4 linked regions of the Drosophila melanogaster genome follow. The protein of the gene in region 1 interacts with the protein of each later gene in a pairwise test. Each region holds a gene or a part of one and is shown in the gene's direction. Other genes may lie near its edges.

What was found.
Region 2: the proteins of X11L (region 1) and Dlip2 interact in a two-hybrid assay, tested with the Drosophila melanogaster proteins (one large-scale study listed by BioGRID).
Region 3: the proteins of X11L (region 1) and CG12708 interact in a two-hybrid assay, tested with the Drosophila melanogaster proteins (one large-scale study listed by BioGRID).
Region 4: the proteins of X11L (region 1) and CG9795 interact in a two-hybrid assay, tested with the Drosophila melanogaster proteins (one large-scale study listed by BioGRID).

What each region holds. Positions count from the first base shown.
Region 1 is NC_004354.4:17,598,073-17,605,641, forward strand, and holds the start of X11L (X11L), read left to right. Parts: upstream 1-1,535; 5' UTR 1,536-1,607; intron 1,608-1,918; exon of another isoform or gene 1,919-2,349; intron 2,350-2,700; 5' UTR 2,701-2,833; coding exon 2,834-3,232; intron 3,233-3,307; coding exon 3,308-3,847; intron 3,848-3,909; coding exon 3,910-4,023; intron 4,024-4,079; coding exon 4,080-5,021; intron 5,022-5,083; coding exon 5,084-5,399; intron 5,400-5,623; coding exon 5,624-5,763; intron 5,764-5,901; coding exon 5,902-5,907; intron 5,908-5,998; coding exon 5,999-6,364; intron 6,365-6,422; coding exon 6,423-6,899; intron 6,900-6,969; coding exon 6,970-7,110; intron 7,111-7,165; coding exon 7,166-7,237; 3' UTR 7,238-7,569. Other genes in the region: CG12991 (uncharacterized protein), read left to right, coding at 1-112, 175-306.
Region 2 is NT_033777.3:4,644,116-4,647,568, reverse strand, and holds Dlip2 (dorsal interacting protein 2), read left to right. Parts: upstream 1-1,913; 5' UTR 1,914-2,000; coding exon 2,001-2,388; intron 2,389-2,492; coding exon 2,493-2,785; 3' UTR 2,786-2,920; downstream 2,921-3,453. Other genes in the region: rpk (ripped pocket), read right to left, coding at 1-174, 231-823, 891-993, 1,239-1,505; nuclease slx1, read right to left, coding at 3,145-3,453.
Region 3 is NC_004354.4:15,673,908-15,678,257, forward strand, and holds CG12708 (uncharacterized protein), read left to right. Parts: upstream 1-1,568; 5' UTR 1,569-1,780; exon of another isoform or gene 1,781-1,896; intron 1,897-2,456; 5' UTR 2,457-2,499; coding exon 2,500-3,717; 3' UTR 3,718-3,830; downstream 3,831-4,350.
Region 4 is NT_033777.3:4,317,805-4,325,702, forward strand, and holds the start of CG9795 (uncharacterized protein), read left to right. Parts: upstream 1-1,878; 5' UTR 1,879-1,982; coding exon 1,983-2,086; intron 2,087-4,040; coding exon 4,041-4,243; intron 4,244-4,543; exon of another isoform or gene 4,544-4,691; intron 4,692-5,426; coding exon 5,427-5,818; intron 5,819-5,882; coding exon 5,883-6,085; intron 6,086-6,148; coding exon 6,149-6,360; intron 6,361-6,532; coding exon 6,533-6,706; intron 6,707-6,783; coding exon 6,784-6,868; intron 6,869-6,925; coding exon 6,926-7,007; intron 7,008-7,068; coding exon 7,069-7,685; coding exon of another isoform or gene 7,686-7,695; exon of another isoform or gene 7,696-7,892; coding exon 7,893-7,898. Other genes in the region: Syt14 (synaptotagmin 14), read right to left, coding at 1-85, 152-484, 544-705, 778-823.

The sequences.
Region 1 (7,569 bases):
CTGCACAGTGGGCACCATTGGGATCGTACTGTACCGTCGTCGGTATCTGAACAAACCGCAGGCGCTCAGCGAACCAGACTCGAGTGTCTATATCGATGATAGCACGATGCGGGTGAGTGTAAGGATTCGTTGACCAATTGCCAGTGGCGCTTGAATGTCCTATGCACTAAATAGTTCTCTCTCTTGATTTTGCAGGACAATTCGGATGAGATGTACAGCCTGGACAACGACTCGTTTCTCAATTCGCTGGAGGCGATGACAATACAGAACTACTGGACGGATACGGTCAAACATACAAAGCTTTAATCTCCGGCCTTCCCCGTTGGAAGTCCAATCCCCTCTATCATTTATTGTACGTCTTTGGTTCGATTTCGATTACGATTCTGTTTCGTTTCGCTGTTAAAATTCCATTCCTGATTTGACAACCAGACATCATAATCATTAAGTAGCGTAGTTTTTAAGCGCGTGTATGTATTTACTAATGTTAGGCAACCAAACGAGCAACTAGTTTAAGCCCAAAACTACCAAAATTATGTTTAGTGTACGTGTAGATCCTAAGTGCGCAATGTTTTTGTTGGCCTTGACTGTTAGTTAAAGCCTTTCCCTAACAACTTCCCCACTAACCCGATTTTTGTAAACCAACCCATTGTACTCGTATCTGTTAGTTAATTATTAAACCTTATTTATATTGTTGACTATTTTATCGCCCTTCCCAACCCAAGTCTAATTTTAGAAAACACTATTTATTAAGTTTCCAACTTTGTGTCCAACAATTAAATGCAATCATTCCTTCCAGTTTAGCCTATAGAGCAACTTTACACTGTAATTAATGTATTAAAAGCGAAGCAAGCAAACAACAATTAAAAGAAAACATCACACAACCACACACCGGTGTTGCTAGAATTTTTGGGAAAATAATCCGTGTCTAATTCCTAACTTAATTCATTAAGTTTTCGATGGAAAAACAAAACTTGCTGTTAAAATTTTAATTGCTTGATAAATCTTGAACGAACGAATTATTATCACTGAAATTCTGGCAAGACTGCAAGAAATTGTTTCAATATACACAAATATATAAAACGAATTATAAGCTAACGAAGAACAAGAAAAACTGTTTACTGCCACACAATCCTTGTCAATTTTGCTCATCGAACTTTTATACACCACTTGTACTTGTACTATCCGTTCGAATGTTGCAAATATTAAACGAAAAACAAAACCCAGATGGAGTACATTAATCATTAAATGCTAAACTGATATTATTCGAAAAAGTGTTATCAATTGGCGCGGGAAATTCATCGTACAAGGAGTGTTGGAAAAGTAGACGGTACCGCGTAATTAGGGCAAGGTACAGGAGAAAGGGTAAAGTCAAGTAAAGCTGGGGTGGAGAAGGAAACATATTTAAATATGTTTAAAATGGCTTTTAGCACCTACTTAGGTACGAATTGAATAGTACCCTCTAACGCTGCTCAACACTGTCCGGCTGTTCGCTGTCGATAGCAATCGATAGGCCATCGATGTTCTAGCAGAGACTATCTATATTGCTGCCAATCGCTCTGCGCCAATCGAGTTGCTGAAGGAGTAGTGCAATAAATATGAATTAAATGGTAAATATAAAACCGCGACAGGTGTTGTTTTCGTGCCTATTTGCTGGCCGTGTTGTTGTTGCCGCCGTTTCAGTTGTTGTTGCTCGAGTGCGCTGCGTGTGTGCGTCGTTATGCGACGAGTGTGTGCATGAGTGTGTTGTGTTGTGCGGTGCCCCCACCAAAAAATAACGAAACGAAAAGCAAAGGAGCTGCAAAAAAAATACGACAAATCTATTGATTTTTAACAATACGCACATGGATAGATACACATAACGGTAACGGGGAGTTTGTTTTTTTCCCACGCCTCCAAAGTGCTGAGTGATTGCAACAATCGGCGACAACAAAGGGCTAGCACCAGCACCACCATCGCCCCCTGGCACCACCCACTTGCACCACCCACCACACATCCTTCAACCTTCGCGTGGGTGGTTGTTGTGTCTGGCTGCAGCTTCCTGCGTTTGTTTTGCCTGCGCGAGGACTTTTGGAGGCCAAGTTTACGTGTGCGCAATCAACCACGGACACGGTAGCTCCGGAACTCGGAAACTCGCAAGCTCGGTCAGTGGCAACCGCGGCGGGGGGCCCTAAAAAAGGTGTCCACATATAGACACATGGACAGGCAATAGTGGGTTAATTGCCCGCATTGATTGCGCTGGCCAGCCAGGGGGTCACCACAACCAGAGGTTACCAAACCAGTGCAGCAACAAACCGAAGCTCGAAACAATGGAATACTTATTATTAGCTAAACTCAATTACATTTAACGAGGTGAGCTAGGACCTGTAATAAGATACAAATACACATGAGAATGATTAGGGAATGATTGGGGCAAACCCAATTTAAAGCAATAGGCTTAGGTCCAAAAATAACAAATCAGCAATTTTATAGATTGGCATTTTACTGTGCTGGTTCCTGTTGTCCGTATCGCGTATGTCTAAACACACCCGGTAATCCAGGTATTTCTATGTCGATTTAAATATATAGTACGCAGCGGCAAGGTATCCAGCAAAAGTACGTCATCGACACGACCACCTGTCCCTGATTTTTTTCTGGGCTGAGCTGCAGCGCAGTGAATCATTGCCGCCTTAGATCATCGACTAATCATCCATTCTCCCCCAGGCAGTGGCCCACAGTGAGGCAGCAATCGCAGCAGCAGCAGCGGATGCAGCAGCAGCAGCACTAGAGCAGTAGTTGTAGTAGTATCGAAGCCGCAGTCCCTCATACCTGGAGAATCAAAGTTGTTGGTGCAGCCATGAACTCAAACTCCTGCAGTGACAGCAGTAACGAGTCCATGGTCAATCCACCGCACATACAGATGAACTTTGGCCAGCAGGCGCAGCAGCAGCAATCGCATCAGCACCAGCAGCAGCAGCAGCAGCAGGAACGTTATGTGTGGGAGATGCGAACCCGTAGCCCAAATGTGACGCCAGCCAGCACGGTGCTCAATTCGCCGGATCTCAATGGCGAGCTGTCCTACGTTCCGCTGCAGGGTCTTTCGCCATCGGGCGGAGGTGTTCAGGGATCCGGCAGCTATGGTTCGAATGCGGGACGCGATTCTGGCAGCTATTACTACCAGCGACCGCAGTTGCATCAAATCCGACTGGGTAGGAGTCCGGGCAGCCAGTTTGAGACACGGGATGTCCTGCCACAGGTAATTTAACTTGGAGAATTACTTAGAGGCGTAGTTTCAGTCACTACAATGAGATTTTTCTGCTTTTTCTTTAAGGGATTGGCCAGCCCCGGCTCACCAACGGATGTGGGCAAGGCGGACGGTCAGTGCCTGCGTGATGGTGAGATCGTGGTGTTCGACGACATTGACACAAACTGGATGAACAAGGCATCGAGTGGCCAGCGTCCAGGCAGCAATGAGGATGTCCTCAAGGTGACCAAAATGATTGGACAGCTGCCAATAGCCGAGTACGAGGGTTCACCGCGACGATTTGGAAGTCAACCGAATACAAATACCATTACCATGGGTGGTCCTAGAAAACGTCCGCCGGGTTTCCCGCAAAGAGTTTCGCCCACCACCAGTGTCGCTAATAATGCAACTGCTGCAGCTAAAGCATCCGTGGGCAACCTTATCGATTTGGTCGACCACGAGGAAGAGCGTTCCGGGACGCTTCGCGAGAAAACACCTACTTTCGACTACCTGTACGAATTCTCAGAGACCAGAAAGGTGCTGGAGGAGTTCTTCAAGGCGAATCCGGAGGACGAAAAGCGGTACACGGATTACACCACGGAAAGTGGAGACGATGTCGCTAGCTCGGTGAGTACTACTACTTCCAAGAAGCCTAGAAACCCATTTAATATTGCATTTTGATTGACTAGCAGCCACAAGAGTACCCAGCCACGCCCATGGAGCAGGCATATATAGGACAGCGGTTGGCGAGAATACCTAAAGATGAGCTCTACATGGTTCACCGGTCGCCTACTAAAAAGCCAGTGAGTCATAACGAAATGAAATTCATTAAAATAGCTAACGATTGTTCGATTTCTAGCCCAGTGACCAGAATCCATCGACGGCCTACCAGGAGCATAATGATATTGAGCTGTACATTGATTCGAATAGCCGAAGCAGCGGCGATTTGGCGGACACCGAACTGGAGGCAAATCTGCGCCGACACTCCCGAAACTTTACCCTGTCTCCCGAGACGACGGATTACGATTCGAATTGCGGTGATTTGGACAGTCTGTCTAACGACATTAACTGCCCCACGGATTTTGGTAAACTGTATACGAGCATGCCTGTCCTAGAAGATGGCCTGAGCAGTGGCCACGCCTCCGACACGGAGAACAACGTATCCGTGGTGTGTGACAAGCAGCAATCGTCCCAATCTCAGCCCGTCCACGAGCACAACGGTAATGGCGAGCGGCTGGAGAACGACTACAATGTGATGAGCGCCAGCTTGGCCACATTGACCACAGATGCCTCGCAATCGGCGCTGATAAGCGACTTCGCCTCACTGCCCATGCCCCCGGCTCCGCCTCCATCATCGCCGCCCCAAATCGAGATCGCCGATGCAAGTGAATCCATGACCATGGTCCCAGATGCTGATAATCCACTGGACAGTCACTACGGTGCGGTTTATGCAGCAGCTTTGGGAGGTACTCACACAGAGAAGTCAGCGGGATCAGGACTGGGGGTGACACCAGTAACTGCGGGAGGATCTTTGCCATCGCAGGCTGCTTCGGAAATCCAGGAGGCCATGAAGGAGATACGTTCCGCCTTGCAGCGTGCTAAAACGCAGCCTGAAAAACTAAAATTCTGTGACGAAGTGCTGCCCACGGATCCAGATTCACCGGTTTGGGTTCCACGCAAAGGGACGACGATCTCGACGGCCCAAGGTGCGGCGGCGGATGAGGAACCAGACACCGACCTTGAAACAGATCGTCTATTGGGTCAGCAGAGGCACGATGAGCAGGATTTCTTCGCCGATCAGGTGAGGAATGCAAACTTACAGAGATATCAGCTCAAAATAATTACGAAATAATAATTTTACAGAGCCTGGCTGATAACAATGCCAATGAGGGCACGGATATTGCCAGCAATGGGCATCTAAATGGCACGTCGGACAACAACAATCCGAATCCTATGAATAATAGCAAGCCGCAAACCTACTCGACGGCCACCATTCGACAAGGCATCGGCACCTCGTTGACACCCAATTCGCCGGACATCTGTCAGATTGTGGGCACGACCGACATCTCCATAAGCTCGCCGGAAAAACTGCAGTTCACCAAAAGTCCCACGGGCTCTATTAAATCCCTGAAGGACTCTGCCAACTCGGACAAGAAGGCCAAATCGCGGAACAAAGAGGGTAAGTTAGCACAGTTGTCAACGCCCCTTGTTGTTCGTTTACTGATATGGAAACCGATTCAACATTTCACGCTGCAATTCAAATCTATTTAATGCTGACATCACGTAAGTCTCTGTTACCCAGCAGATGTTTAGGTTTATTAAACTACCCTTATGTGTATTAACAATCAGAAATGAAGACCATTAACGCACTTCGTAACTAATTTAAATAATGTTCGTTCTTAGGTCTCTTGGAACCCAAAGTTCTCATTGAGGGCGTGTTGTTTCGGGCCAGATACCTTGGATCCACTCAACTTGTCTGCGAGGGTCAGCCGACCAAGTCGACCAGAATGATGCAGGCCGAGGAGGCCGTTTCCAGGATCAAGGTAAGTGAAGTGAAAACCTGGTGATGCACACGAAAGCACATCCATTCAAGGAAACCCCGCTAGGTTATGCTCTATGTGTGTGTCTAAAAACTTTCTCGTTCGCTTTTCTCGTTCCCTGCTGCGCATTCCTCTCGATAGGCTTTGGTAAGCGTTCGTTAGCCCCTTTCAGTCGTCAAATGATAGCATTAAGAATTAAATGCATTATATAATATATGATTTGCTATTTTTTTACCAGGCTCCCGAGGGCGAAAGTCAGCCGAGCACTGAAGTGGACCTGTTCATATCAACCGAAAAGATAATGGTGCTTAACACGGATCTCAAGGAGATCATGATGGACCATGCGCTGCGTACTATATCCTATATAGCTGACATTGGCGATCTGGTTGTGCTGATGGCTCGTCGTCGATTCGTACCGAATAGTGTTGTGGATCCATCGATCACCAGTCCATTAGGTGATGTTCCCACTCCGGGCATAGGCGAGGAGGAGTCGCCCCCCAAAGAGCCACTCAGCAAGCACAATCGCACGCCCAAAATGATCTGCCACGTGTTCGAAAGCGATGAGGCGCAGTTCATAGCTCAGTCCATTGGACAGGCCTTCCAGGTACGCGAATATTAATAATATTATTGGCACGTATAATTAACAATCAAAACCTAACCAGGTGGCCTACATGGAGTTCCTGAAGGCGAACGGCATCGAAAACGAGAGTCTGGCCAAAGAGATGGACTACCAGGAGGTGCTCAACAGTCAGGAGATTTTCGGTGATGAGCTGGAGATCTTTGCCAAAAAGGAGCTGCAAAAGGAGGTAGTTGTGCCGAAGGCGAAAGGCGAGATCCTAGGCGTGGTGATCGTAGAGAGTGGCTGGGGATCCATGCTGCCCACCGTGGTGATTGCCAACCTGATGAGTTCAGGAGCAGCTGCCCGCTGCGGCCAGCTGAACATCGGTGACCAGCTGATCGCCATTAACGGCATGAGCCTGGTGGGACTGCCGCTGTCCACCTGCCAGAGCTACATACGCAATGCCAAGAACCAAACTGCCGTCAAGTTCACCGTTGTGCCCTGTCCGCCTGTCGTCGAGGTTAAGATCCTGCGTCCCAAGGCGCTGTTCCAGTTGGGTTTTAGTGTTCAAAATGGCGTGGTAATTATAAAATGCTGAATTTATTCTTCTTATTCTAATCCTTCTAATCATATGTATTTATTTAATGCAGATCTGCAGTCTTTTGCGTGGAGGAATCGCTGAGCGGGGTGGAGTACGCGTAGGCCACCGCATCATTGAGATTAACAACCAGAGCGTTGTGGCCGTGCCACACGATACCATTGTCAAGCTGTTGTCATCCTCAGTGGGCGAGGTATGACGCGTTTTTAAATTCGTTATTCTTATATTAACAATACCTTTCCAATCAGATCCTGATGAAGACAATGCCCACGTCCATGTTTCGTTTGCTCACCGGTCAAGAGACGCCAATCTATATATAAATATATATGCAACTGTTCACACGCCTACGCTGGAATCGAAAAACTATAAATTCGTCAACTGCAACTTGACCAGCTTAAAGTTACATCGATTCGCAAAGAGACCTTAAATTGGAATTTGTTTAGTCTTAAATTGTTCATTGATTATTTGTCTTTATGTATTCACATTGCAAGCATAATTGTAGTTAATTTAAATGAATTGCAAATGTATTAAGTCTACAATGAGATTAATTGTTCGTCGTCAAATCGTTCAGGTGTCCACAGCGACCACAACTGCAATAGAGAGATTACTATTACTGGAGTTACAGAAAATGCTACTTTTTGGTTCATTTTGT
Region 2 (3,453 bases), on another chromosome or scaffold:
CAGCGACCGCTCGTGGCTGAGGAAGCACTGCCTCCGAACTGGATGGTACTCTGCTATTCCCGACGACATGGTGATCATGTTGGGCTTCACTGCGATCAGCACCTCCTTGCCCATGGGAATGCGCACAAACTGTTTGGAAACCTGCGGGACGTCATCGGGCGCATGAAGCAGTACCTGTAGATTGGCATTACTGTAGACACATATTGGAGCAAGAAAAAGCAAACAGCTACGTTTTCAAATTTTCCCACCTTAAATCCCTGCACAGGTCCTCGACAGGCGTAGTCCACCTCCTGCTTAAAGCTTTGGAGGGCCAAGAAAATGCCAGATCGCGCTCCGGCACTTAAGACACGAGCCGGAAAGGTCTCCACATCGCTGTCCAGTGCATAGCCCGTTTCCAGAGTCCAGGCCGTATGCTGCGAGCTAATATTTTCCATTTCCAGGGGCTCCCCGCTGTGTTGATACTGATAGGTGTCGTCCCGGTATATCTCAGTGGCTCTCAGCCCATTGAACGTATAGCAGATGCCCTCCTCCGTAAGAGTCTTTCGGAAGAAGGTCTCGCACTCGCCGAAACGACTAAGCCAGCGGCAGTAAAAGAAGTACCGATCAAACTGGGGCAGCATCCGCTGCAGAACATCAAAGTAGTCCAAGTCATCGCCGGCTATCAAGGGTATGTCCTCTTCAATGATCTGCGTGTTGCATACGTGCAGCAGGGTGCGGAACTCCTCCATCTCAAGGGCACTAACGTTTTCGGGCCTAAACACCCGCGAAGCTCGCATATCTTCGCTGAACTGGCTGTAAAGATCAGCATAAGTGGTCTCTTTTCCTGTCAGACAAAGGTTACATGTTAATATTCATAGTCTGTACAACTAGAGGCTTCCCGAATAACAAACCTTTCTGCTTTAGCACCCTTTTGGTCTCCGAGCAAACTGTGACCGCCGGAAACGGGATGTTCCACACGGGGGTCGATTTTTCCGCGAAGCTAACGATCACAGGCTTTAAAAAAACGCAAAATATTAGTTTTGTTGTCGGCTGAAGGCAGCAAGAGCACTTTTCATTTTACAGAAGACCCTGTAGTGTTCTTATATTTATAAAACATAACAGTTAGGGTGCATAATATATCGCATAATACATCGCAATTTTGAAGGATCTGTACTTTAAATGCTATTGTTTCAGAGAGCTTTTACTGATGCTACGTATATACATATGTATGTATGGTATGTTCTACTAGGGACTCGCACCGTTTCGGTCCACTTGGTGTAGGCACTTTGAATCAGCGTGGAGCAGCCGTAGATCGAGATCAGGAACACGAACAGCCAAAAGATGCGCTCGCGGAAGGGGCGCTCCTGCTCGCCAAGATATTGGACACCATGTATGGAAGTGTTCCTGCAGTATTCATGGTACGTGGTGATAAATCCTTCGCAGGCGACGGAACCTGCCTTCCTTCTCCTCCTGAATGTCAGGTCGATGCCCTTGCTGCTGTCGAGTTCCGAATCCGATATGGTCATGGTGTCTATTCCATTCTTGACGCGCACAAACACAGCTTCAAGTAATCCATGTGGGTTGGAGACGAAAACAACGTGAAAGACAAATGGCAAAACGAGAATTTTTTCCCGTTTCTTGGCAGACCTGCCAGATTGACAGGATCTTGGAGAGAACTTGCAAAAAAACGTTCGGATGGTGACAATTTAGCGATATATTTTACTTCCGAATTAAATTAAATTTTGTTGAAATTAACAAAAACGAAAAACAGGTACATATTTGCTGCAACTTTATTAATTGTCATTGTTAACACGTTATCCCAATTCATTATTTGCACATTCGCCTGTGTTGTTAAAAATTAAAACTCCAAAGAAAAATATTTCAAAACGCAGAAAAGTGGAAACGAGTTGAAAATCCAAATCCTCGTTACGCCTCGATATGTATCGATAACGAATGCTTCGTACACGATTTGTACTGTTTACTTAATTATTAAGATTCGTAATTATTTAAATTTATTTAAAATGGCGACAAGGTCTTGTGCGTACAAGGACTGTGAATACTATTACGTAGGCCACGAAAACGCGCTGACCAAAGGAAGAACCCTGTTTGCCTTTCCCAAACAACCGCAAAGGGCGAGAATCTGGCACGAAAACGGCCAAGTGCATCCAAAGATTCCCCATAGCCAGCTTTTTATGTGCTCCCTTCACTTTGACCGCAAGTTCATATCCTCCTCTAAGAACCGAACGCTCCTCGTCGGCGAGGCAGTGCCGTTTCCGTACGAGGAAAGCAGTAGCAAGCCGGAGGAGGAGCCCCAACAAGTGGCTTCCACTTCGCATGAGAGCTACTATATAAACCTGAGCGACGATGAGCTCAGCATCAACAATGTGGACACTACCTCAGTTACTACAAGTAAGTACTATAAATCCACCGGGCCTTCGAAATAGAGCGGGTTGGATTCATCATGTCGGTGTTGCATCTTAATGCTTTATTAACTTCTTTAACATTATTTTCAGTTGACGCAGTCCACGATAGTCCACCGCAGAAGCGCCCGAAGGAATCTTCCATTGTCATTGCTCTAAAGGAAGCTGTGAAAATGGAACCCAATCCGAATGCAGGCCGAGTTAGAGCAGAACCCGACAATATAGATACTACTGAAGTGTCTGTGTTCAACTTCAAGGGACAGGAGTACGTACAAATGTCTATGGAGTATTACTTGCAGGAAAAGCGGAAAATGGCTAAACTTTTGCAAGACTATAAAAATGCTTTAAGAAGCATTAAGAAACATATTTCCCACCTTGACCTTTAACTTTATCAATGTAATACATGTTGTTCTTCTGTCAATTTACTGAACGTTATCTTAGTTTAAAAGCACCTGACGAATTGGGAAACAAACCTAATAATTTATTTTATTATACTTGGAGAATAAATACTGATAAATATTAATTAATTTGTTACACTTTAAATTTCAGCATTTAATTTCTTTCGTTTAAACCTTAAATACCGCAAACAAATCTAAATTATACTCAGTATTATCTATTGGAAATATTTTTAAAGTATTTAGTTAAAATGTTTACTTTTACAAGCGCATTAAGATGGTGTTTGCCTAGATACTTTTAGCTTATGCGATACCTTAGCATTTGTAAATAAAATGAAATGGGTCCTCAACTAATCGCTGAGCTCCGGGGTATCTTCAATATCGCTGTCTACATCAATGTCGTCGCTCAGATCCTCGTCATGATCCTGCAGTTCTTCAGGCACGCCCAAAAGAAGACGTTTGCGCTGCAGCAGTGCTGCCCAGCTGAGACGAGTCTCACAAAGCGGACACTCTCCTCCAACTGGGATGTAATGACCTGGCTCGTCGCCCAGAAGGTAATTGGCCAGGCACACCATATGGCATGTCAGCCGACACATTTGATTTGTGCATCCCAGGCGGGATTTCTCCGGTTGCTCCATTTCCTGCATACAAAGGTGGCA
Region 3 (4,350 bases), 1.9 Mb from region 1:
TGCCACCACCAGTTGCAATAAATTGTATCCTATAGCACTTGGTGGTCCGGAACTGCAGTGTCATATGAAATGCTAAAGCAGGTCCTGGCACTTCCTCAGCGAACAAAAAGTTGTGTTTAGTTTTTGCACAAAAACTGTCAAATAAATTTAGCAAGCAATAATATGGCGAAAGCAAATAGTAAAGATTCCAAAACTGAAGAATTGGGCAGATGTACGGTTGAGATTTAATTCTATTTTTCTCAAACGGACAATCGGCGGCTGCGAAAATATCATAAATTTGAGATCAGCAGAGAAAGCAGGAGGGAAAGTGAGGGAAGGTAGGAGCAGGACGGACCGGGAGCCCTTTAACCAATAAATTGCAAAACAATTGCACAATTTTCCACAACAATTTCCACAGGACAGCGATGTCCCATAAACAATGGGCCAAATTTGTACAATGCCCAAAGTTCCTGTTTGTGTTGTCCTTTTCTTGGCGAAAATCGTGAGAGAAGGAAGGAAAAATCGGAAAGAATTGCCTTGCTAGGGTCTAACGACTATAAGATACCTATTATTTAAACCTTTTATATATTTATGTTAGAAAAAGTTGGCAAATGATGCAAAACAGTTTCATCAATTAAACTAAATAATTGTAATCATTATTCCGATGAACTTGTTTAAACAACAACAGAAAGTCTTTTCAATATCAAATGAAAAACTAAAAATCCTTTAAGACCCAATGTTTTGTTCTAACTTCCTGTAACCCACACAATCACAGGTCTAGCATACTCTCAGGATCCCAAAAAAAACACAGGGTATCTTGAGGAGTCCAAGGTGAAAGGAGCCACACGCTGCGAGAAAGGTAATTGAAAATTATGTTTTGTGGCGCAAGCGGCGATGAGAACAGCTGTCCAACTATGCTCCGTCCCACTCACACGCTTCACAAGCGCCGTCCCTTTCTTGTTGCACGTAGGAATCCTTGGCCAACTGATCATGATCCTTCTCGGTGGCCAAATAAAAAATCTCACGATCGTGGAAAATTCGCACAGCTGTTGCCAGATCGTAAATCGATCGGTAAACGGTTATAAAAACTGAACATCAAGATAACGTTAATGTAGATCAAAGCGCAGCCTTCTGCTTTTCAATTTGTATCGCATTATCTAATAAATAGAAATATATTAGATAGTTTTGGGAAGTACGAGTCTACGAGAAGAGGTAATTGTATATATATATATATATATATACCAGATTCGATAAAAGGTATTGAAAGGGTATGCTTTTAGTTATAGTTGTTATCATGGGAAAAGTGAGAAATACGAATATTACAACTTATTTAAATAATTTATATTATTATCAATGTTGCAAAGTATCTTGCATAAGTTATTAAAGTCAAGTGGACTGATATCAGATGCGAAATACCTTTAATTACTATAACAACGAGTGGTCTCCCACCACCCGCTTTCAATGCCGCCGGTTGAACGTGCCTGCCGTTCAACTGCCTGATCTCTCCGCTCTCGCTCTCTTCCCTCTGCGCATGAGCAACATGTCCGTTCGTCGCCTTCTGCTTTCTCCCGGTTAAGGCGGCTAGCCAGTCAGTCAACCAACAACCGGCGAAGGGAACGCACGCAGTCGATCTTTGCCAGAAAAACGCGACGGTTGAAACGCAACACTTGGCAAAAAAAAAGCACTACATATACAAACTACCAAATAATCAATTCTTAAAATAAATCCGCGAACCATTTATTTTATTTTTTTGCTGTTGGAAATAAATATCAGTGCCGAAAAAAATAAACTACTGAAAAAGGTAAATTCAAGTGAACATCTAAAGATGACTGAAACTAAAAATGCAGTCATGTACAATGAGATCTAAAGGCTCATAAAAATAAATGGATATACCTAAAATAAATTACTTAAGTGCCTGTAAGATTCATGAATTCATTCATTAATGGTTATGAATATCTTTTCAAATAATTCCCAACATAACTGGATCAATGCAATTATAAATGCACAAAAATTCAATTTTTCGGATAACTTGTGATTTTTGGTTTTTTGGTATCCACTCAAGAGCCAAATTTGAATGCAACCTAAAAGTTCATTAAGATTTCATAAGAATAATTGAGCATATCAAGTTCAGAGTCAATTAAATTATTAAGGTCCAGACCAAAGGCTGCCCGTCGTCCATTTAATTGTCCGTGAGAGGAGTGGTTGATTTCGTTTTTGATTTCATTTTTGCCGCTTCGCTGATTTCGCCAAATCGATACACATCCATATACATATGTACATATGCATGTATATATGTATGTTTGTCTACATGCACATTTATCGCGGAAAAAGCGCGCCAAAATTGCCGAAAACTCGCCCGACAACTTTGCCGCTGCCCTCTTTATTTATTTGCTCCTTAAGAAAGTCAAGTTCTGGAATGCCAGAACCAGAAATACCCGCCCCCTTCCTAACCAGATTCCTTTGCTCTTTCCTTGCAGCACCCACTACAAAACCGAAAAACTAAAACTTCAGACAAAGAAGATGCTCAAGTGGGCCGTCAACCAGCCACGACCCTCGTACTTGGCCAGGGATGAGGTGATGGCCACCAGCAGCGAGGCAGTCGGCTCCAGCTACAGCGAGTTCCACGCCCTGCGTGGCAAACTCAAGAGGAAGTCGATCGGAGTGGCGCCAGGCAAGGAGAACCAGCTGACCTCCACGCCACTGCCGGCCAGCTCCTTGAGCCTCCATGCGCGCACACCACTGCTCAAGGACCTCAGCAACATCCTGGCCACGCCGCCATCGGGAGGAGCAAGTGGCGCTAATGGGGCAACTGGAGGTGTAACTGCTGTTCCCCTGAAGTTCGCCTGCACACTGCCCACCTTCGAGGCGGAGTACTCGCCCAATGCCGCCATCATTCCTGGCTCCCTGATCGCCCTGCGCGGCATGGGCATCCCGGACAGCTACTTCGAGAAGCCGCGTTACCTGGAGCAGAAGCCACTACCACATCCGCATCCGCATCCAGCACCTCCGACCGGCGAACAGAATACGCTCAGTTCCAGCCAGATGGGCGATGTGACCCTGGAGCGCATGATCGATGCCATCCTCGAGAGCAACCGCAAGGTGCTGCCCAACGCCAGACAGCAACAGCACCAGCATCAGCACCGCCAGCCCAGGCAGCATCTCCGCCAGCGGCACAGGCTCAGGCAGCAGGTGCTCCGGAGCAGCCACGGACACGGGCACGGCCCCACCCAGACGCCATCGCCCACCTACCGCCCCGCCTTCGATCCGGCCAGCGATCTGTGCGAGTACTGGAAGTCGCCCTCGCGGAGGGATTCCCTGCCAGCGGAGGGCTTCGAGGAGCGGGAGGTGCGCTCCCCCGTGCCCACCGTATCCGAATCGCAGGATGCCAAGCGGCATTCCCTGCAGCTGCGCAGGCAGCGGGTGGTGCGGCGCAAGCGAAAGATCACCACAAAGATCTCCTCCAGCGTCAGGCAGTCGGCGCAGAAGCTGCTTGCAGCGGCCAGGTCCGGATCCATAGCAGCTCCCGCCCAGAAGATGCGCCACATCAGTCCGGACAGTGGGCACAATTCCACCAGCGACTGCGAGCTGGAGGAGGAGCACTGCCAGCTGAGTCGCGGACTGGAGTTGGGTGGCGAGGAGCTGGAGGATGCCTGTCAGCTGGATGCCATGTGGTTGCAAGTGCAGGCCAGAGACGCCACGAAGAGACGCCTCAGCTTCTCCCTGGTGGAAGAAAGCTAATCCTCAAGGATATTCCTATACCATAGGCATAAGACATTTTTTTCATAGCCCTAAGAACGTTTTTTTTTTTTTTAATTTTTTGGCCAGAATAAATCATTTGGAATGCAGAATGTACGAAAAGAACCAAATTCACTGAGGGGCACACTGTCATAATTCGGTTGAAACCACAAGGAACCACCAGCAGTTTATGCTAAACACCTCTTGAAGCTCAGCGGTGCGTGGAAAGCAATTCCTCCAGAGCAGAGGGTCTGGGTCTTCTCATCCGTCTGCCCAAGTGGTCTTCTTTCTCACAGCGAGCTGGTTAATGAGCGTTTTAATGCTCCGATAGCGAGCTATAGGGGATTCCTCGGCAACATGGAACATAGAACTTGGCGGTAATGAGGGCCCTAAAAGGAAGGGGTTGTGCGACAATTGTCGCAAGAAAAAAAATATTATTTACGCTTCAAATGCCCACGAATTCGATGGGCAGGCAGCCAGCCAAGTTATGTGCGATCTAACGCGATAAGGTCTAGTACCTGGAAATGGAACAGGTATCACTTGCTCGGAACTCCATTCGAGTGTTATTAGCTCAAAGCGACCTTTGGAAAAGGAAGTTGCCTAACTTTCACCCGGGAAACTGCGATTTACCACTGC
Region 4 (7,898 bases), on another chromosome or scaffold:
TGGTACCTCAGTGCCTGGGTCTTGGCCCGGTGTTCTCCACACGGATTGCGGAAGGCTGTCGCCGGGTGGGGAACTGTGGTTGTGGCTGTCAAAAGGTCGTGACTCATTGCAACGGCTGTCAATTAGCTGGCCCTGACCCCGCCTTGCTTACCTTTGCTCAGACCCGTCAGGACGCCTGTGTGACTGTCCACGGAGACCTCCATGGAATCGTTCGAGCTGCACTCACTGTGCGATGACGGGATTCCAACCTTGCCACGCTCGGCGATGGCTAAGGGGTCACGCGACACCGTCACACGCTGCAGGTCGGCACTTGCGCCTGCTTGGTGGTAGTTGAAGCTCTGCGCCGTCAGCGGATTAGCCTGGCTGATTCCCAGCCCGTATCCGCCAGGCTTCTCGCCCAGTTGGTGCTGTTGATGCCACCGCAGGCGCCTCAAGATGTCTTCCTCCGAGTCGGAGCTGGTGTTCTCGTAACGCCTTTTGCGGGCTGCGGGATACTTAAAAGTTAGCCAGTCAGCCCCAATCCCCACGAAACACGGTACTCACTGATCTTCTGCACACACTTGACTGCAAGGTGGCGCTCGTCGCAGCAGTTGATGGCATGGCGGTAGTGAAAACAGCACTTGCGACTGATGAAAAGAAACAACAGGAGCAGTAGAACGAGGACGCCGAAAAAGGCGCCCAGCAAAGTGGTCACCTCGATGGTGCCTGAAAGATTTAACAGTCACGGCTCAGGTCAGAATGGTGTGGTTTGTGGGGTGCATATACATTTTTACGTACCGAGCGTCGGAGTGCTATCCAGTCCAGAAGCGGAGGTAACAATCATCTTGGCTCATGCGAGGATCCTGGCGAACACGAGTCTACTACTCGCAACTCATTGCACCCGGACCACAAGTCAAGTCACTAAAAATTATTCTCACTGCAGCGTGAAAGCAAAAGCTCAGGAATTTGACAGCACAGCGTCGCAGGATAACTGGAATCGATTTTTCGCAAGACAACGACTAGGGATCAAAGCAAAAAAGTCGTTTGGAAGCTGGTGTACTCCGAATTACCCGTTTTTTTGGCCCTTCCGTATTTCGGAACCGTTCATCTGAGATTTGGTTGCAAAATCGTAAAACAAATTATAGAAGGAACAACTATACTGTTCTATCCTATTAATCACTTTCGATTTCTTGAAGGCACGATCCCAAAACTGCGAATCATGCAACGAGAGATTCAGAAATAAAAATCAAACGGCTCAGGATTTAATTCAACTGAATTAGGATGAGCTGCCTTAAACTCGATGGAAAAACTGCTTCAAAGCAAGCACTTTGGAGCTTAATCCCTCCACCCCCAGTGTGTGTACACACAGGGCTCGGAAAAGCTCCGTTTCGACAGTTGCATCGCAGTAACAACTGTTGCTTATTTTTTTGTGTTTGGGAGGATGATTTAAGCTGAAAACTTAGAAACGGGATTCTTTTTTATTGGTTGTGCTGTGCTGTGATTTCTTGAATTGTAATTGTTTAGAATGTCTCGAATAAAAATTCTCTCCGTGTCGTATGCATTCGAAGGTTTAAACGTTAGTCGTAGCCACGGTTTCATAAAATGTTAAGACCAAGACCGTTTGCCTGTTATTGATGTTCAAAAATTTGAACCAAATAATTAAGAAAAGCGGAATTAGTGCATCAGAATTAATGCACATTGTATGCTCCATTCAGGTAATTGTCCGGTTGTTTAAAAAAGAGCCTTATAATTTAGGTCAAAATTTTTAGAGCTACTCATGCTTACATACATGAAATGCGCTGTTATTCGATAGCAGATAACACTCCGAGCAGCAGGTATCGATAATCGCAACAATCGCTGTTCCAGCGAAAGTCATCGCTTTGACGGCACATCGCAGATTGCCCACCTCTAAAATAAATGCCTAATGAATTGGCTCAGTTCCGTTGTGCGCTTAATTTTTTGTCGCTGCTCAAACTGAATGTTTCCGCCTGTCAGAACACCGTATGCAAAACCGTGACCGCGCCCACGCCGTGCTTGAAAGTCCAATACATTTAATCCGCAATTGTGACGCAAGTAAATTTTGGATGGCCAATGCCACTGGGCAAGTGTGAGTGCCGTGTGTGCCAAATTCCGCTGAGACGCTTCTGATAATATGATTATGGCTAAACAGCTAAATATAGTGCTCAGTGCCCCCCACAAAGCGGAATACCGCGGTGGTACCGTGATACCACCTCCTTGGCGTCGATTACTTCGTTTCTTTATTGCTGGTGGAGCTAGCAGGAGGAAGAAAGCCAGTCTACGACGTCATCTTATGTCGTTTCGCTTTTCATTTCGCAGCAGTCACTCGCACACAATGAAAATCGAGAGGGTGGGATGGGGGTGGAACAGGGATTTGAAAACTCGATTTCCCGTACCAAGAGCCCAGACCAGAGTTGAGCGCGTGTCAAAACTTTTCGACACAAAGCAGCACGAAGCCGAACTGGAATCTGGCAAAGTGCAGTCTAAATACATATAATATAACGCTTTTGTATGAAAATAAAAGTTTGTCTAACCTTGAATCTAACAACCAAGGCATTTTTCGTTAGGTATATATGTGTACTTCCAAATATATAAAATATCCTCGCAGAGCTTCTAGAAAATATTCTATTGTAAGCAAGTTTTTGCAGTGGACCAGTGAGCAATGGCGTGGGAATCCCAGCTGTAGATGCTTGGAATTTCTACAAAAACTTACAATGTCGTTTCCCGGTCTTTTGAGCTTTTAAGCTAGTATTCAACTTTCAAGTCAACTCCATTTCTGTCAATCCTAATTTCTTCATACCCTTGCAGAATGTATATTAATTTCAGTTAGAAGGTTTTAACGCAGTGGTGGAGATATTTGCGACCATATCAAGTATATCTATTCCTGATCAATATCGCCAGCCAAGTCAATATCTAATTCACATTTTTTGCCAGGGTTTAAATATTTGCTACAATATAGCTCAAGCAATCGAAGTACATATGTATGTATAGTGCTCTTCGATTGGGTCAACAAACCAAGCGACTCGCTCTTCCAGCTCTTTGTCGCCGTGTGCATTTAGTCATTGATCGCGGGAAGGAGTCGCTGTGGGCCATGTCACCATCTCCATTGACAACGCAGCCTTTCTTTATTGGTGTCATTAAAATTTGTTAAATGGAAAGGTCATTAGACACAGCGGTGAAACCGGTTTGGTTTGGCGGCTTAATTTTCGGTTAACTCGACTGCATAGATTACGCACCAGCCACTTCAATTGGCTGCCAAATACCTTATGCTTATTGGTATGTCTTCACTTGCAGTATGTATATTTGCTGGCAACCACCCACCAACAAAAAAAAACTTGACCCAAAAGCGGCGAATGTTTATTTTCTCTTTATACTTGACTGACGTTCATCTTGGTGGCCAGAGTTTACTGCCAATGTCGTTCTTAGTCAGTTAAAGTGGGAGTAGATACAATTATCTTGAATCCAAGCTACCGCCTATTTTCATCCCGAACGTATTACTAGATGTTACATACTAATAGAAACAACGCTTAAAACTGGTAAATAGGTTTTTTAGTTGAACTATCAATCGTATTGTAAACTGTTAAACCTCATTGACAATTTTATAGACACAAAACGCTGATTTAGGGCTACCGCTGGAAAATTCTATTATCTGTTAGTGAATTCGTCTAAATTCATTTGTAGATCAATAAGTGAATAAATGTTTATTGTTCGTCAATTAAGTGCCATTCCACTGGTCTGTGCCTGCATACATTTAAATGTTTTTACATTGTATATTCTGCAACCACAGCACAGTTTGTGACGGTGGTCGTGCAAGTGTTTGGAGAAATCGTACGGCTGTTTCCAGGGATTGCATACGTAACTTGAGGATTTTTCTTGCTGTTTCACTTCTGTTTATTGTCTCCCCCAAGTGCACTAGGTACAAACATCGAGTCTTTCGTGGGTTAATTTCTGTGTGCTTCCAGTTTTTATGGTCCACTGCGGAATCGCACGAATGAAAAACCTCGCTTAACAATACTTAACTATCCGTATTTTTTCTATTTCAGAAGCAACATGAGCGTTTTGCGGGAGGAAACGACAACTTCCAGCCAGAGGGAGATAAGCACAAACGGCGGTGGGTTGGATTTCCCCGCAGAAGTGACGTCGCTGATTGCTGGCAACAGCTTTTGCTTAACGCCAGGAAATAACGGCGGGATCGGTGCCCAGAAAAAGGTCACTACTGGAGCGGGTCTGAACAGTACACAGAGAGGTGAGCGAGATCATCGTCCGAAATATTGAATATCCGTTAATCTAGGTTGTTTATAAAGTCTATTTTAAAGAACTTGGTATTATAAACTCAAAATTCACATTAAATTCCAAATCAGTGAGTGAAATGTTAAATAAATACAAAACACAATAATAAATCAATTAGGTTAATTTTGTACATTACGCCTTTTATAATTCCCTGCAAAGTTAAGAAACCTCTAAGTTTCTTCTGTGTTGTACTAATTTTGATATAATAAACATGTTATATTGCATTTTTTGATCTTAAGGTTCCTTTTATTTTTAGCCACTATAATTACGAAAAGATTTAATCTATTCAAACTGACTGATTTCACGGTCAGTAATCGACTTAATTTTATTTGTTACGATGCCTTTGTCCGAGATATATCATTGAAATAACGGAAACTATTTACCTAACTCCCGAATTATATAAGGTGGGCAAAATATATACTGTTTGTTTAAAATTAATATTACAGTATAAAGTACATATGTATATTAAGTAAGTATATGAGTATACATACATCTGATTAAAAAGTTGAAAATGTTCAATAGTGTGGGCGTGGCAGTTTTAATCAATAGAAATTAACAATATATACAGTCAAATGACAACAAATTAGGGGTGGGAGTGTCAGCTTTGGTTAGTTGCAAAACAAGCTTGCTTCTTATTATGAAATTTATAGTATCCGAGACCTCGACGGACATACGGACATTGATAGATCGACTCGGCTAGTGATCCTAATCCAGAATATGTATATTTTCAAGGTTCGGTGACAATCCCTCAACATTTAGAAGCATTTCTGAGTAATTTCCTTGCTCTCCTTACTGGCCGTTTATCGAAAGGGGCATCGAGTTTGCTCAATCTATAAAAACCAAGTATTTGCTTGACTTAAAGAAAACCGTTTGGTTTTAACAATTGAAAAACGAACCAAAATAGTCTTAAAATTGCTTCAAATTGCCCCAGACGTTTTTCTGGGCTAAAGTAACTTAGACAACTCTAGTTTAGCCGCCGAGTTGAGCGTTACGTCCGGAATTGTTGAATTCGTGTAATAGTTTTCACTTTGTCAATGCTGGAAGTGAAAGCCGTGAAGCCTTTAGCTACGTAATCTGTCCACACTAGGACCTGCACTATTGAAATTGTCAAGATGACCTCAAATTAAATTCTCCTTCAGCTACGGATGCCACCAAGCGCAAGAAACTAAGGTCGCGTAACGTACCACCTTCCCCATTGGCCCAAAAAACTGAAGCAGCGGCGACCTCTCTTAACCAAACGAACATCGGTGAGGTCAAGAGAACCGATATTAACTATTCCAACGATCACCTTGATGCCTGGTTGGAGAGCTGTTTACGTGATGCCACCAACGCCCAATTGTCTTCTTCATCTGAGTTTTTGGACTTCATACCGCCCACAGCACCAGCTCATAAGCAAATGTTTTTGACTCAACAGCAGCAGCTGCCGCAGCTTAAACAGCAACTACAGCAGCAGAGGCAACAGGAATTTTCGAAGCGAACCCAGCCTTACGGAGTGGGTCCAGGCACACCGTTTAGCCTGGGGATACAGCGCGTGAGTAGTTGCTATTGCAAGATATTTTGTACAACGCACACCCAACTTTATTTTATTTTTACAGAATTCGAACTCTCTTAGCCATCGATATCCGATGCTCTTCCCACCCCAGAGCCTTAACAGCTATGGTGATGGTGGCCAGGAGTTTGCAAGCTTGCCTCCCCTGAACAACATGATGGGAGGGCCGGAAGGGCTTGGGTGCGATCAGGAACCGAATTCGACGGATGTGCTGGATGGCAGCGAAAGCAATCCCAACTTTACCAAGGGGTAAGCAAAAACAATAAATTCGTAATGAATTATTAAAGAGCCGTACTTACCGTGTGATAACAGATTTCGGTTCAGCGATCCGTGCCTACTGAACCCCTCCGATAATGACTCTAAGCTGAGTGGCCAGAATACACCAGAGTGTCGAAATGTGAACAACAATGGCAGTGGCTGTGATCTGGCACATCAAAACAAATTTTTCGCGGCTCTAATGGAACAAATAAACATATTGCACGACACCAATTCCAAGATCTGCCGGAATTTGCATAATACAAAAGGTGTGTGGTTTGTAGGATTGTGTCCAGTTTAGATGTCACGATGCTTCCCAAATTACGACAAAATTACACAAATCTCTGATTTATTTTACTTGTACTCGTATGCTAATTAGAATGTGTTGCCACCCATTTCCTCTTTCTATGTACTCCCTTGCACTTGCAAACACAATCATAGTTGATATCGAAGCTTTAAAGCACTCCCCTAATAGCCAGCACTGGGCAGGTGTAGGCTTTGGGGGCATGCGGCACCGTAGAGATAGCTTAAGCGGGCTAAGCACACAAAGTCAACCTCTTATTCTTGGCAGTGGATTGGGAGGGACACACAGCCCAGCGCCCACATTTCACTCAGGTATAACATAAACGCTACCCCCAACTATGCCATGCAAAGGAGTGAGTAATAAGTTATATTCGCTTCCCATTTTTCAGGCGCCTACACTCCAGGAATGATGACGGATGTCGTGCGGGAAGTGAAGGAGGCAGCGCGCATACGCGAAGATGCACTGCTAAGTCGGTAAGAAGTCGAAAATTAAAAAGTATATTTAGAGTGTTGATTACATTTTGTTCTCAGAGTAAAATTAATGGTTGAAGAACGTCAGTGTTCCTTAAACGAGGGAAATGTCCGAATTCTGAGAGATATAGACGATCTAAAGGTGAGTGCTAAAATAAATGTGCATAAAAAGCTAAAAGCTAAAAATTCGATTTCGGTTGTAGACCCAAGTAATGCAGTTGCGACTGGAGAAAAAGGAGACTAACAAACGCCTCTCACATCTGGAATCCGAAAACAAGTGCCTTCGTCAAGCTCTGGCCGGTTGTTATAACCAGCGGCCAATCAGTAACGACATTATTTACGAAAATGACCGATCCCATGGATTCCGAAAGCCATTTCCGAATGGGGGTGGCGGCGGAGTTGTGGGTTCCGGTGCCCTCGGAATACGACGGGCAAAATCTTTAAACCTTCATTATGGAACAATGCATCAAACGCCTATCCAAACGACACACTCTTTGGAAGAGGACGACGAAATAGAAGAGGAGCAGTTAGTAGAGCAAGTAGGACTGGACGGAGAAGAATTATCCCTGACTGGCAACAACAGTTTATCGTGTTTGAACATCGGTCATCAATCTCCCTCCAACTTAACGCCTCACTCACAGATACCTAAATCAGAAAAGCAAGCAGTTAGAAGCCCTCCCTCTTTTGCGCTGGCTTCTGACCAGATCAATCCGGGAATTCCACCGCCATTGCTACCACGAAAGAAGGACCACGCTCATCTAAAGCGGGAGCGCAGCGAGGCGGCCTCCGTACGTAAGGAGACAAATCAACGTATAATTGCGTGGGTGTAGTATATGCTCTGTTCTACATTTTTAAACTAACCCATCACCGTTAACTTTCACTTGCATGGACGTTTTAAATATACGTTTAGTCACATTCTACTAATCATTTTAATCACTATCTGAGCTTGGTAACTAATCCTAAAACTTACAAATTGTACACTTCCTTTTTATCTTTCAATGGTTATTTATACTGGGCAACATTATAGCCTTGA